Linked DNA regions of Drosophila melanogaster. The protein of the gene in region 2 interacts with the protein of the main gene of each other region in a pairwise test. Each region holds a gene or a part of one and is shown on either strand. Other genes may lie near its edges.

Region 1 (2,910 bases), on a different chromosome or scaffold from region 2:
GAAGACAGCCAGTCGATGGCGAGACAGCTTGTCACTGACATATCCAGGGCTTAAATTTCATCCTTCACGCTTCCCTGCCAGCACACAAGTTCATTATTGTTATTTCCCACTCCTCAGAACCCCCCCCTCCCCCTCCCACAGTGTGGTGCACTTGCTTTAAGTTTTTTAATTATGCTGCCTGGTTAAGTCCCCCGGTTTAATCCGTTTTAAAGGCGGCCATACATGGCGTATGCGTGATGGGATGGGGGAATTGCGAATTACTTGATGTCTGGCTAAAACACACAGAAAATTTATGACATTCTCAAAGAGGGTGTTTTACTTGCTCGTGGTTTATGAGTTTGTTATATCTATCTGTGCAAGTATAAATATAAATCGTAGTACAATTTTTTCGTACGAAGAAAATATGCAACTTCAGTAAAAATAAACCTAGCACGATAATCAAAGTTACAGGCAGTATTAAAAACATAAGATGCAAGTTTAATTTAATATTTCCTTATTGATTTATATTGTTTGCTATTGCTTTATTTATTTGGTGAACCATTTTTCGACTGCATTGCGAAGCACTTGCAATCAACCTAATTGAAACTCCAATTTGAAAATGGGCATATGGAAACACTTGACACTCAACCATTCGTAATTTGGTTCGGAAACCGTTCTCGTTAATTTATAATTACCTACCTAATGAACAACTGATTCGATAAGCTTTTCAAATAGGCACTTAGTTGGTTCAAGCTGGCATAATTTATTAGAGTATTTCCATATATAAGCGTATTTCTAAATACCAATTTAGTTTACTTTAAACCTTCATCAGGATGAGATTTTTCATACTTTCGGTGCTGTTCGGGCTAGCTTTACTCGCTAACTTTACAGAAGCGGCAGCTAAACCAGATTGGATTACAGTGAGGGAATACACAGTCTCACTTGAAATAGATTAAACTAGTTAAGATGTGAAAATAACAACTTTCTTCAAATGTATGTGTGCACGAAAAGAAAGTCAATTTAATTGTTTAAACTCTCAGTTGGTCGTCTACGTATTTGCAAAAACTTTCAAACTGTCACCTGCAGTCGTGCATACAAAGTTGCAGTAGTAATCATACTAAAATGTTTAACTAAAACTGTGTGCCTTGGCTTGGAAATTACACTTAGTGTTACATTGTTTGGTTAGGAATATAAACTATAGTATACAATTCCTTCTTGTTTATATGGTTGAATAAAAAAACTTTGAGAATGCAAGCAAGTTATTAAGATGTAACTTGGATTTTGGTTTTAAAATCTATAATATTATAAATAAACAAAATATACAAGTTATTCTTTGGGGTTTGAAGCTTACAAGTATGTGGGGAACGAAAAATTTCTCAAATAATTTATTTAAGCTTACTTTTTCTACCATCGAAATTGAAACCCGGAATCGGAACTCAGAAGCAAGACTTTTTAATTGCCGTATTGTTTGAGACAATAGAACAGATGGGAAACATCAAGCTACCAAATTTTTGGCAAACCGCTAATGACAACTATTCAGCAAATCTGTTTTTCCGACCGCCGAGAACCCAACTAAGCAAATATGAAACTACGCAAAACGTGGTTAAATAATTTGCACGGATTCCCAGAAACGAATTTTAGTTGAATCAATATTTGAACTGATTAAATGAAAAGTAAATTATACCCGTAAAAGAGGTGCTCTATAAAATGGGGGAGCAATGGCCAATGGAAGTCAGTTGAAAGTGGTTGCTAGTTTGGAAAATATGCGTCTGTTCGTGGCTCTGGTTTGTGTCAGTTTGGTGGCAGTGTCATCTGCCCAGTTGTCACTGCGCGGAAGATTGGGACGCTCATCGAAGGTGGATTTGGCAGTGGAGACACCCACTTTGCTGGCCAAGACAGCCGGACTTGTGCCCACTGTGCTTGTGAAAAATGCCGGCATAGTGCCCACTGTGTTGGTAAAGAATGCAGCCCAAATCTTACCTGCCGTCAATGTTGCCGCCGATGTGGAAACGCCCAGCATCTTGCCCCAAGTGTCCAACAACATCTTGCCCTACTATCCCCGCTACTGGCCCGACTATGGATCCTATGGATCCTATGGCTATCCCGGCGGCTGGAACAGTCCCAGCTACTGGAATAATAACTACTACGACTATGGAGCACCCTATTTGCCCAGACGTCGTTTTGTTAAGCCCGTTGTGTCCCCTGCCGTGATCACTGCACCCACTTCCACTGGCTCCTCGTCCACCAGCAGCACTACTACCACTGTTTCTGGTGAGGATTCGCCATCTGTGACTACCGATGTCGTTCCCGATCAGTCGGACGCTTCCGAAAATCAGGTTGCTGAACCCGTGGTCACGACCCAGGTGATCTAAGGAGAGGTCTAAAAAATAATAATTAAATTTTATATATTGAGCAATTATTTTTTCATTAATAGAGAAAGTTGGGCGATTGTCAAAGGATCTTATTGCTAAATACCTTGATGTTACTATCAGTAATTTTCTCACAAATCTTGGATATCATTTTAGAGGGTACAACACATAAGTAGAAGACATTACCTATTTTTTTAATAAGTTAAAACCACTTTGGTATACCAACAGGAATTTATAGTTTGTATAATTAACACACAATTGTGATAGATTTGAAACTTAATCGATAATATCTATGATTCAGGATTTGTATCAAAGTTAATTATCAATTTATGGCCACTTTAGGCCTCGAACCAGAACGAGTACCCATCGGCTATCTTATCGCGGTTAGTCCTATATACTATATACTAAACGCTATTTGTCGCATTGAGTAGAGTGCAAACACTGAGCTTAGTGGGGCATTAAAGGTGCGAACTATCCGTTGTCGTGGCCAACCAGTTTTGACCAGCAGCAGAGCCAGAAAAAAAGCAACAGGCTAAGAGCCTGCCATATGGCGCAATATTGA
Region 2 (5,019 bases):
GAGTAAACAAAAATCGGTTATGGCGTAACTATGTTATCCACCGCTTTTGGTCTCCTCTTTCGCCAGAACATTAGCCAAAAATGTGTGTCATGCGAGTCTATTCGTACTTTGAACTCCCAATCCGTTCTGAAAACTTTCCATGAGCAAGACGAGCGTGGTCTGGGTTTATTAATGATGTTTCGACAAATCTATCAATTGGCATTTGTTTACAGGCGAACCCATATTCACATGCTGACCCATGGCTTCTCCAATTTTAAGCAATTTGCTGTCTCCGACCCGCAATTAGACTTTGTTCCCGCATGGCGCAATAGTCAATTGGCAAAGGTAAACGCTTGAAAGTTATGGCATTCGTTCCGAAATAGATTCCTCATCGAGTGAGCAATGTTGGGAGAGCCTCGCATAACCTTGGTAGCTGATAGCGTACGAATTTGCTTATCGCAGGAAGTATTCGACAAATCGTGATTTCTGAAAAACACCCATGAGCCAACCGAAGTAATTATTTCAATCCAAGCTGCAGCTGGGGATTGCAAGTATCATGTTTCCGCAGCAAATAAAAAAAAAGGCAATCACATTTTGTAGAACAGATTTCTTTAATGATCAGCAGTTTGGCTTTTACAAATACACATAACTTTCACTGCTCCGAGTTATTGTTCAATGGTTGATTGCGACACGACACGAGTATATAATTAGTCTATAGTATATTTGTGTACATATAGTAGAGGTATATAAGTAAACAGAATTCACACTGTGGCGCAATGTAATGCTTTAAGAGCCATGTAGTAACTATTTATAGGCGGTGCTCACTGTAGTGTATTATTGTAATGTTATTATGTTATCTATGTATGCAAATATCGAGTAACTAAGAGGTATGAATATAAATATCCCATTAAAATTAGATGTACTACTAAATCAATAATTTATGTGGGGCATTGTGGCTGCCAATGCTCAACATGGGAAAGTAGTCGGCCAACTCGCTTTTAGGCTCCAAATTGATTATTGTCCCTCTGTAAAAGTTCATTGAGGTAGACTCCTACTTTTGATACGTTCTTGTAAAAAACATTTGACTATTCTTAAGAGGCCTCTTAATGATGCGCTTGTGAACATTTGCAACACGACTAATAACTACTAATTATCGTTGTTTACGTGTATATGGAAGACTCTGTTTTGGTCGCTCTGTATGCCAGTTTCGTTCACACAGGTATACAAAAAGGTCACATAGTTATGCACTTTTAGGTACGACATCCGTAACACGACTAACCAAATAGCCGACGCCTTCTGGAAATTCTTTTATATGTATGTATATATTCTACACTAAATCTAAGCCGGGCGGAACTACTGCTCAGTTAGTTTGGTGAGCGTTTCGTCCTGGGCAGTTTGGTCTTGTTCTTCTTTATGGCGTCGCCAGCGGCGGGACAGCATGGGTGCGAAGAGATCGTAGTCCAGCTGCTTCCGAGACTTGTCCAAATAGATTTCCGCGTTTTCTGCCTTTCCACAGTGAGCCAGCACAATGCTGCTGAAATAGCCGACGACCACGGCAATAAGAAAGCCGATGACGCTCAGCCACAAGTAAGAAATTCGATATAACCAGAAGTAGTCGGGTTCGATGACCACTCCGCTGCTCTTTGAGCTGAGCTCGATGGCACGCGCCATTACCGCGGTGGCATTCTCACAGCCCGCTGTGCTAAACTCCAAGGTAACTGGCTTTGGTTTGGGTCCGCCGAATCCCATCCAGAAGGAAACTATCAGGGAAACGAGGAAGCCAAGCAGCACGCCTCTTTGGTTGCTGCGTGTAGTGCAGACTCCCAGTGTGAAAATGGCCAGCAGCGGACCGCCTACCACACCGAAAATGGTAAGCGATGCCTGAAGAACTCCGCCCATGGAGCCAGCGACAAAAGCTAGACCGATGCAAAGCAGGCCAAAAATGCACGCCACAATCTTGGTGGGCATCGTGGACTTGGAGTCAATTAGCGTCCGTTTAAATATCGCCTTGTACAAGGGCTTCAGGTAATCCTCCAGTGTTACAGCCGACAGCGAGGTAACTGCCGACGAAATCGTGGAAAGACTGGCGGAGAATATTCCGGACACGAACAGACCACACAGTCCAGGATATTGACCTGCCGGAAAAAGAAATCAAATAATGCTAATTCTTATTGGATGTCTTTCCAACTCACCCATAGTCTCCAGTGCGAAAAGGGGCATGATCTGATCCCGCTTGTCGATGCGTCCCTTTAGCAAAGGGTCACAATCTCGATAATAGTAGAATATGGACAGTCCACTGAAAATGGTGCTAAAACTAAGCATTCCTAGGATGGGCAGGTTCCACCAAAGCGCCGACTGAGCGCTCTTCAAATTGCGGACACTCAGGAGTCGCTGTACTTGCGTTTGATTAACGCCATACAAGGAGAGGTAAGTGACCATGCCGCCAATGATCAGAGACCACCAAGTATGCCTCACGGTGGGATCCAATGAAAACTCAATGAAGTTCACGCGTCCTCGCTCCACAGCCACATCCCAGATGGCCGCGAATCCGCCGGCTTTAATGGCCGACACGGCAATCACGGCGTAGATGGCGGCAAACATGAGGAAGGACTGAAACACATCCGTGATGAGCACCGCCTTCAGGCCGCCAAGTGTCGAATAGAAGGTGCACACCAGTCCAATGACCACGATGGCCATTGACCGATGAATGCCGGTTACAGCTTCTAAAGCGAGCGCTGGTGCATAGAGTGCAATGCCCATGTAAAGCACCATTTGCACGGTGAAGGCCAGGGAGGCGGACAGCCGGGTGGCCTGGCCAAAGCGCCGCTCCAGATACTCGTACACACTGGTCGTCCGCATCCTGTAGAAAACAGGAAGGAAGAAGTACGCGGCAATGGGCGTACTCAGCACGTAGGCAATGTTGATCACACAGAAGATGGTACCAAATTCGTAGGACTCGTTGGAGACGCCCATCAGTGAGATGGCGGACATGAAGCTTGCCATCAGGCTGAAGGAGACCGGAAAAGTGGTCATGCTCTGGTCCGCCATCAGATACTCCTGTGTGGTCTTTTGCTTGCCGCCTGTATACCGGTAGTAGATGCCAATCAGAGCCGATATGACCAGGATGGTGATCAGCACGGCCGCATCCCAGGCGTCAAACGTTCCCACGGGCATGTTGTTGTTGACTGGATTCCGCTTGTCAGAGAACTGGAAGTTCGACGTCCGTCACTGGTCCGAATTGATTTTTCCACAAGCGTCACCACCAGCGGCGATTGGACGCTTCTCTTGCCCAGCAATGACCTTTGGCGCAGTCAACGCTTTCTAAAGTGCGCGTCCAAGTGCACGGCGAACGGCGGAAAACAAGACGCGTGCTCGCGAAATCTCCGCTCAAAAAAGAAACGTTCTTGCCGAGGCTACGACCGTTAAATAACTGATCAGCTGAGCGGTGAGTGTGCCCTTGCAGGGTGTGCGGATTAATGCTGTAATGTTTTCCAAGCACATTAAGCTTACATATTGAAAGGCCATTGAATACCCTCAACGAAAGCAACATTGCTGTGCTTTGGTCCCACTACTTTTTCCCGCTCATTGTTTTGGTTAATTTTTTGTTTTGTTTACATGCAGCGAACATGGAATCCATGGAGGTTGATGAGTCTGCTGCCCAGCTGTGAGTGCCTTTGGTATGCCTGCGTAGGAGTTATAATGTTACCCAACCACCCGCCATAGCTACGTTCGCACGCCGGAGGATGTGAAGGCCATTGTGAAGCATGCGAAACTGGACGAGCGCCAGTTGACCCAACTCACCCAGGCTCTGTACTTTCCCTCGGCGGACGTGGATTCGGACAATCTGCGCCTTCTGGAGCTCGATGGGCACATGCTTGGACAAATCCGCGACGGCCAGACGCTATATTTCAAGGGTGGCCAGAACGAGAAGCTGGTGCTGTGCACCGATGAGCGAACGTACGACGTGAAGGGCGCGGAAATATCCAATAGCCTTTTGCTGGTACCGGACCTCAAGTTTGCCGCCGCCACCAGCACCTCGCCGCTGAAGAGTCCGCGCACTGGCAACGCCAACGCCTCCCTGGAGCGCAGCCTCAATGACAGCACGGAGGATGAACTGGAAGTGCCGCGAACTCTGGAGCAGCGGCCGGTGCTCAAGGTGTTCCACGAGTACTTCGAGTGCCGCGAGATAAAGCCGCGCTTTCGCAAGCTGGGTGAACTACTGCAGCTGACTCGATATTCGGGGCCGGAGAACGAGTTCTGCGTGGAGCAGAAGCTACTCTTTACCTTTTCGCAGCTCCTGGACACGGTGCAGTGCAGCCGCGGTCAGTTCATGGAGGGATTGAACCAATATCGAGCCATAGAACTGGACGGGCGAATGCGCGTGATGGAGTACGAATACGAGTATCGCATTATTAACATGATGCTGGGTTTGATAAGCGAAAACTCCTGGGCCTTGGACGAAGTGGAACGGGAGGAGACCATCAATGCACTGAAGGGCATAGCTCCAGAGGATGTTGTGGCTGGGCTGTTTGATATCTATACCATTCCCAGTGAACGTTGCCCGGGCAAGTTTGAGTACCAGGAGTCCTTGGTCTCCCGCATTGTGGCACAGAACATTCTTCAGCCGGGTTTGCGCTTTCGCAACGAGGAGTTCATGCGCACCTGGCAGGAGGTACTGCCCGAGGGCATGTCCTGCGACTTAAAGTACCTACGAGGTCTGGGCATTTGCGACAAGGAGGGAGCGCAGCCTTGCATACGCTCCCTGGCAGAGGAGTTACTGCCCACCAATATAAGCGATCGCATGCGGGCGCTATTTAAGACTAAAAAGAGATGGACGATGGAGGAAATGGAACCGTACATAGAGTAAGTAATGATGAACACATATCTAGATTGTTTTTTTGATTTTCGGTTTTATAACTAGGTGCTTTACCACCCCAAACTTGTCCGTTTCCACACTATTGGCCAAGCACGCTCGCTCATTGACCGATGGAGGTGTGCGATACTTTGTTTCAAAGCATTGATGGAAACATCCAAGGCTAT
Region 3 (3,934 bases), 3.1 Mb from region 2:
ACCGGTTATTTCGCCCACAGAATTGTGGGATCAAATCGATTTAAATTTATTCACATTTGTCATTATCGTCACAGAATACAGATGATGCTACCAAGTAGTTTTTCATATTTTCAAATCGAAAAAATCACATTATTTAGAAGATTTTCTCTTCCGACAAGCAAAGGTTATTTATTGGCAGAACCCGGTAAATCTTATTAACACAAAGACTGCCACTGGCGTATCACGAAACCGGCTGATATTTGGATATGTAAATTTAATTAATTTAATAAAACGACCTTTACATGGCTACTTAACAAGTCTATCTTAATTATGGGAAACGAAACTGAAAAATCCCCGAAATTGTAGTTTGCACATGCCAAAAATAGACCACGCAAAGTCTAGGAAGTCTAGTTTGACGTAACTATTTATTTTGGCTTGGCTTCGAAACCAGGTATGATGGCCAGCTATCAGAAGTGTGGATGAATATTTGAGTGAATAAACAATGGTTTAATTGAGATTCGCCTATAACGACATCTGCTGATATGCACAACCATAAACCGGGCCAAGTAAAAACAACAACGGAAGCCATTTGCCATGCAAATGCTAAGCAAAAAACCTAGCTGGCCAGCATGTCTAATACGATCGGCATTTACATACATGAAATATAAACAAATGCAGAAAATGATTTGGTCGCCTGGTAGACCAAACTAAACTCAGATAGTTAACAACAAGTTTTTAAATGTTTGCCGAGATGCGGGCCATGAATAGTGTGATTAACAAGTTTGCACTTGAAGTCCAAACAACACCCCGAATAATTCAGCAACCGGTGTCCAAATCATAAAGCAATTATAACATGGTAGTACATGAAGTTTTTGACCTTAATGAAAATTAAATTATTAACTAGTGCCCACTAGCTAGGGATACAAATTAAACTATCACCATTTAGGTAATAAGGAGAAGAGTTATGGAAACATGAATCAAGATGAATAGGAAATAATTTAAGCCGCCGCCAAGTAATGAAGCATTCATAATTAAAAATGAAGTGGTATTTTGAGCATTATGCGCTTTGAGGTCTAAACAATTATACGAGGTGTGGATCATATAATTATGTGTTATTTGAATCTTTTCCTGAGAAAATTTGTTTGAAACGCCAAACCATAAATAGCGGAACCTTGAGATCGAATTTATAATTTTAGACTCAGACGTAAGCTAGACCCATTTTTATGACCATAATCGTGAGCAACTGGTTTGAAGTAATTAATTGGCCACCAAGGGTTCGTTAGGTAACCAAAGTATTGAACTCAGAAAAAAGTATCTTTGTTTTTTTGACAACATACAGTATGTATTTGCATAACCGTTTGGATTGTGGGCGCCTCATTTCAGAGTCTAGACAAAAGATTCCATTAAGGGGCCTGCAAGAACGTCGTCAAAACCGCTGAATACTTTCGGATTCCTCTAATCCAAAACAATAGCTTCTAACATTTGGCGAACTAGTCGTAAAACCCAACCAGTTTCTGTGTCTGCATTCGTTTCAAACGATTATTGTAAATTTCCGGCTACACCAGACGCTTGTGCCAAAAATACGACTTACCTAAATTAAATTAATCCAGCTGCCCAATAAAACCAAAGATGATCCCATAAAATATGCCGTTAGCTGTCTGCATGCAGATAAATGTCATCTAAAAGTCACTTTTGGTGTTGCCAGCTAACACGGCTTAAGACCGACCATCCATCCATCTATCTATATATCTATCTATCTATCTATCAGCATCTCAATCTTCATTCCTTAGATCCAATAAACCTATTAAGCCCGGATCCATCGAGCGCTTCTTCATTCTGACGACCCCCAAAAACAAAACCAGTAAAAAATCTCATCTGCGCTGAATATTCAGATGAGATGTTGACGATGATCTGCGTTCGGCCTGAGGTTCAGTTCAAGTTTTTGGGCTCGGTCTTGTATAAATAGTTAGCCATTGAGCCTCTTCAGACAGAAGCTACTCGATCGCTCTTGGAGTAACAGATTGCAGCTGTCATCATGGTGAGCTTACCCACATGGATGAAGGATCAAGGATTATATTTCTAAACGCTTTGGTTTGCTTGGCTTTTCAGAAATTCCTGGTTGTTGCCTTTGCCGTTCTGGCCTGCGCCTATGGTGATGTCTCCCATTTGGGTTACGACTACTCTCCTCCGGCCCCAGCTCCGGTTTACCAGCCCGCCCCGGCTCCGGTCTACCAGCCCGCCCCCGCTCCGGTCTACCAGCCTGCTCCAGCACCAGTTGTGATCCCTGCTCCTGCTCCAGCTCCAGTTGTGATCCCTGCTCCTGCTCCCGCTCCAGTTGTGATTCCGGCTCCAGCTCCCGTGAAGACGTACGTCCCACCCGCACCCATCAGCATCCCAGCCCCAGTTTACCAGCCAGCTCCTGCTCCCATTAGGATCCCAGCCCCAGTTTACCAGCCAGCTCCTGCTCCCATCAGCATCCCAGCTCCGGCTCCAATTGAGATCCCTGCCCCAGCTCCAGTGAACACCTACATTCCCCCCGCACCAGCACCAGCTCCGGTTTACCAGCCAGCCCCTGCTCCCATTCCCGTGAGCATCCCGGCTCCAGCTCCCGTTTACCAGCCTGCTCCCGCTCCCGTTGTGATCCCAGCCCCTGCTCCAGCACCAGTTGTGATCCCTGCTCCTGCTCCCGCTCCAGTTGTGATCCCAGCCCCAGCTCCCGTTAAGTCCTATGTGCCACCTGCACCAATCAGCATCCCAGCCCCGGCTCCCGTTTACCAGCCAGCTCCCATCAGCATCCCGGCCCCTGCCCCAGTTTACCAACCAGCTCCCGCTCCCGTCTACCAGCCAACCAACACTCAGGTTCTGGAGGAGATCGAGCCCGCTTCCAATGATGGATACCGCTACAAGACCGTGCGTCGTCGCGTCTACCGTCACCGTTTCTAAACTTACCAAAGCCCAACGAAAAACTGTTTCCTAACGAATCCCTACGGGGACTCGCAATAAAAAATTTCCGCCTTCAATTTGTTAAACAAAAAGAAAAGTCTTCAAATTGTTTTCCAATCATAGCAAATCACACGGGAAACAGGAGAATGGGAAACTCTTAAGTTTGCTCTGGCCATTTGAGTTGGAAATTTATGAAACCCGAAGAGATGGCGAGACTGGTGGAATCAACTTGCCATCGGACAGATAGTGTCGGTAAGGCATGGGGCATGGGGCAGCAGAGGATAATAAGGAGTTGCAAGCAAGTTGCGGAACACTCCCAAAGGATTCGATTCGATGGCGGACTCCGCAGTCCTCGCCGCTCCACATTTATCACGAAATTTATGGCCTGGAATGAGCTTTGATGATGTGGAAATTTTTTCTCGTTAGATTCAAAAGTTTTTAGATGCACTCAGAAAGCGGAAAATTTATTTTATACATAATTAAATATATATATATATATATATATATATATATCCGAGGACACAAGAATGAGGTTAAATAAATTTTATATTAGAAATTTCTTAAAAAAAAACTGTTCTCTAATTGTTTTTTTTTTTTTCTTGATTTAAAAATATTAATAGAATTACGTGCGTCTACAACTAATTGTTGTTTATACGATGATTTGAGTAATATTTTTATCGGTGCACCCACACGAAATCGATGATGGTGAAGCTGGAGCTCGGAATGTAGATGGTGCCGAGTGGATTGGCCTCATCAGACGACCACTGACCACTTGTGGCTGCTAACAAGTGGCAGGATGAAATCGAAGGCGCTCCAGGAAGAAGGACATCGACAGACGATAGACGCTGCGGAAAATTAACAAGAAAATGCAGCGACAACTGTCTACGAATCTTTTTCTCTCACCAATTTGATTAGGGAAATGTCTGGCTGAATGGCGGAGACTGTGTGTCCCCGAATCCACCACTTTCTAGTCTGAATTCCGGGACAACCGCAGAGCCACATATTACACTTG
Region 4 (3,840 bases), on a different chromosome or scaffold from region 2:
TTGCACAATCCCAAGTTTTCGGTGAAATTCAAGCCGGGCACACAGCAGCGCAATGGACGCACCTACCTGAGCGTGGATAAGCTCAAGGTTCTGGTGGAGCCACAAAAGTAGGTGCAGTTCGGATTTTAGCTGAGATATACTAACATATTTGTGTTCCCACAGGATGAACATTCGGCTGGAGAACCTCTTTAATGGCGACCAGGCATTGGGCACCAATCTGAATCAGTTCCTCAACGACAACTGGACGGAGGTGTGGAACGAGCTGCATCCCTCCATTCATGTGGCCATCGCCGAGATCATGAAGAGCGTTCTCTCGCAGCTCTTCAAGCGCTTCGCCTACGAGGATTTATTCCTCGAGAACTGAGCACTAGTCGTCCTAGTCGCCATCAGGCGCCCTAGGACTTTAGGCTAAGTGTACGAGTATTTCCTCACCTATCCAAGCTATTCTCACTCACATGGGGCGTTGCATTCCGGCATTCCGGCCATTGACACATCATCATCGTATCATCGTATCTGCTAAGCTAAGCTTTAACTTGTAGAATAAACAAAAACATTCGAAAAAAAACTGGTTCTGCTTCTGCGGGGGGCCATTGTTAGCTAAAACGTGGATCTCACTATTTCCGCACAAGTGTCGCATACACTTTTTGTTTCATTTTTGGCCAGCAATCAGCAATCAACAGGCAGCTCACGTGATGGAACGATTGATTCGAAATTTGCATGACAAAGGCATTATTGCTAAGGTGACTATACTTGTGGATAAAAGCGTAGTTATACATACGCTTAAAGTATTAAAACATCCAACAAATTGAAATAAACACCTTAATTATTATGAGCAAATACTTTGTGTCTTAAAAAAGACGAAGATGCATGCTCCTACTACTACTCCTACATCCTGTGCAACTAATTTAGCCCAAAGTGCACTAAAATTAGTATATGATATGATGATATGATATATGACTAAGATCTGCTTGTCTTAGAATCAAGAACTAACTAAATGGCAGTGCTATTAATCTGAACACAACTGTGCTGTCACTCATTGCGAACTCATTTCACTGTCCAAGTTCAAGAGTAGCCAACGGTATAGCTGCCATCCCGATCCCAGGGAATCGGACACCCAGTTGGCCTTGGGTCAGTGAAAATCTTCCACGAGCGAGCAATCAACTGCAGCGATTCCGAGCGAAACAAGTTGCTTTTGTTCTCCACGGGGGCTGGACTTTAAAGCGGGACACTTGGTCATTAAGTTAACCCAAAGTCTAGGACCTGTTCCGAGCTACTACTCCACCGCTACTCCTCCACTGCCCTTCACTTCGATTCGCAAGAACTAAAGCCAACTAAAGAACTGGTGGTCACGATGACTGCGTTGTTTTCGCATCTCAATTCGGCTATATTTGGAACTGGCCCTTTTGTGAGTTGCACACTTGCCAGTTAACTTTGTTAAGGGAGAACTTAATACCATGACTTTTAATTGGACATAATCTGTCTGATACTTAAATTCATTGAGCGGATTTTCGATGTAACTGATTGATGAAGATTAAGGTGAATAAGAAGATTTGCTACATGATCTACTTGCTGTCTAAAGTGCACCCAAATGAGGTGATAAACTAAGGCTTGTATTGAAATTAGAACAACGTTTTCTTACCTAATACCATCAGATGATTCAGTTGCTATTCGTTATTAGTTGATGATTCTGAAACGAGCTCTGGAATTGACAGACAGACGGTTACGGCACAGATAAGAGCTATATCAAAGGTTGCCATTAGACGTTATTTGAGTTGCACTTAGTGGACCACTATAAATACTAGGCGAAAATCCCGTTCGTATTCAGTAACTTAAAGTTATAGACGTGTTAGCATGTTCGCAATCGCATTCGCAGTGGTTTTGTGCCTTTTGGTCTCGGTGGATGCCAAATTCCGTAAGAGAAAGTCCTTTAAAACAAGACCTTGCCAATGAAGTAATAATCTGGGAAACCTAGATAGACACCTACCTCTACTTTTCGGTTCCAAAATAATCCTTTGTGTTCCTCACAGCCGAAGATCCAAAACCTTGTAAGTATGGTGATGGCGAATGTATCATGAAGCTGTGCAACACCCTGTTCAGCGAAAACTCGGCGGAGGGGGATCCTGGTCTGAACCTGATGCAGCTGGATCCGTTGAAGGTGGATCGGATGGTTATTAGCCAGGGTGAGAGCTCCAGTCCCGTGGGCATAACTCTAACCTTCACCGACAATCTGTTGTATGGGATCAAGGACCAAAGGATCGTCAAAGTAAAGTGGGTGCAGGAACAACACTTTGTTTGGATGAGAAGGATGTGATTCAACTTGCCTTGATCTTTGCAGGGGTTTCGGAAGGGATCTCACCGCCAAGCACGAAGTGAAAATTGTCACGAAAACCTTCTCACTCGTTGGACCCTATAACATCCAGGGCAAGGTACTCATTCTACCGATCAGCGGAACTGGACAGAGTAACATGACAATGGGTAAGCTATGCCAATTGATTTTTCAGATTTCGAGGAACTAAAAATCCTGTCCAGTTAACGTCAGGGCAATCGTCAGCTTCTCGGGCAAACCGCTGGTGAAGAATGGGGAGACCTACCTGGACGTTACCGATCTGAAAATAACGATGAAGCCGGAGTCCAGCCACTACCATTTCAGTAATCTGTTCAATGGGGACAAGGCGCTGGGTGACAACATGAATGTCTTCCTCAACGAAAACTCGGAGGCCATTTACAAGGAGACGGCCAAAGCAATCGACCGATCCTTTGGCAAACTTTACCTGGGCGTCGTCAAAGGTGTGTTCTCCAAACTGCCGTATGCCAAGTTTTTTGCGGATGAATCGTGAGTTAGCTCTTCAAAGTGGGCAGAGTCCACATAAAGATACTAGATCATGTTGTTTGCGTACTGACAGATCTAAGTTTTGAGGCTAGCAATCATCATTAGGTTTAATGGAGTTCGTGTTTCGCGTTTGAAAGTGAGAACACAAGTAACTACTATTAAGCCATCTCAGCTAAATAATCTGTAAGTGTTGTGTGGCAATAAAAGTTACATATATGTAGTTAGCACATTGTAAATTATTTATAAGTGATACAAAGAATTCTGTAAAATACCATAAAAACATTTAAAACTATGACCCATTATTAATTAAGTTACAGTGAGTGGAACCCTATAGATCAGGTTGATCCAAAAGATGAAGGACCGCCTGAAAGTATGTGTTATTCGCGCGCGGAGATTCCGAAAGGCAGGGAATATCTGTAACTGGAAAAGGCAGTTACATTAAAAAAAAGCTTGATAAACAATCTTTGTTGACTTAGCCATTAATTAGACGTTGAAACGGGAATTAATGTGCGTTTTGGGGAAGGCCGATCCAATTTGCATATATCGAGCAAATTGCACCCAAAACGCGATTAGGAGCGATTGAATGGGACGGGGTCGATGTCTGGCTTGGGAGTTGGGAACTTGGGAGTTCATTAAAGGGAATCGTAAAATGAATTCGCCGGCTATAACCAGCCACTTTGCCATACAGCCAGCCTGCCGGTTTCGGTTTATAATCCATTTAACTGACTCAACTGCCAAACGGTCTAAAGTCAAATTCTGTGCGGCTGAAACGCAAAAGCGGTTTACGGCAACAAAAACATGATACATTTCAATTGACGAAAGTGACTATATAAGTGTTAACGCCCGCGGCTAATGGATCAGTACTCGATTACGTTCGCCGCCAGCAATTATGGAGCTAACTCTCGCCCTCGTCCTGCTGTTCGGATGTGCGTCCACCTACGGACACGCCTCCGATTTCCGTGAGTTGCACACACCCCCTTTCCGTAATATATAATGTTTATGTATATTTC

What was found.
Region 1: the proteins of CG10444 (region 2) and CG13460 interact in a two-hybrid assay, tested with the Drosophila melanogaster proteins (one large-scale study listed by BioGRID).
Region 3: the proteins of CG10444 (region 2) and CG10953 interact in a two-hybrid assay, tested with the Drosophila melanogaster proteins (one large-scale study listed by BioGRID).
Region 4: the proteins of CG10444 (region 2) and to interact in a two-hybrid assay, tested with the Drosophila melanogaster proteins (one large-scale study listed by BioGRID).

What each region holds. Positions count from the first base shown.
Region 1 is NT_037436.4:15,060,509-15,063,418, reverse strand, and holds CG13460 (uncharacterized protein), read left to right. Parts: upstream 1-1,713; 5' UTR 1,714-1,742; coding exon 1,743-2,351; 3' UTR 2,352-2,390; downstream 2,391-2,910.
Region 2 is NT_033778.4:20,271,086-20,276,104, forward strand, and holds CG10444 (uncharacterized protein), read right to left. Parts: upstream 3,415-5,019; 5' UTR 3,154-3,414; coding exon 2,172-3,153; intron 2,115-2,171; coding exon 1,333-2,114; 3' UTR 568-1,332; downstream 1-567. Other genes in the region: CG11788 (uncharacterized protein), read left to right, coding at 3,606-3,643, 3,703-4,842, 4,901-5,000.
Region 3 is NT_033778.4:17,164,536-17,168,469, reverse strand, and holds CG10953 (uncharacterized protein), read left to right. Parts: upstream 1-1,826; 5' UTR 1,827-2,014; coding exon 2,015-2,017; intron 2,018-2,088; coding exon 2,089-2,922; 3' UTR 2,923-3,386; downstream 3,387-3,934.
Region 4 is NT_033777.3:25,238,339-25,242,178, forward strand, and holds to (takeout), read left to right. Parts: upstream 1-1,841; 5' UTR 1,842-1,851; coding exon 1,852-1,912; intron 1,913-2,027; coding exon 2,028-2,268; intron 2,269-2,335; coding exon 2,336-2,475; intron 2,476-2,529; coding exon 2,530-2,837; 3' UTR 2,838-3,330; downstream 3,331-3,840. Other genes in the region: Jhbp7 (juvenile hormone binding protein 7), read left to right, coding at 1-107, 163-364; CG11854 (uncharacterized protein), read left to right, coding at 3,720-3,789.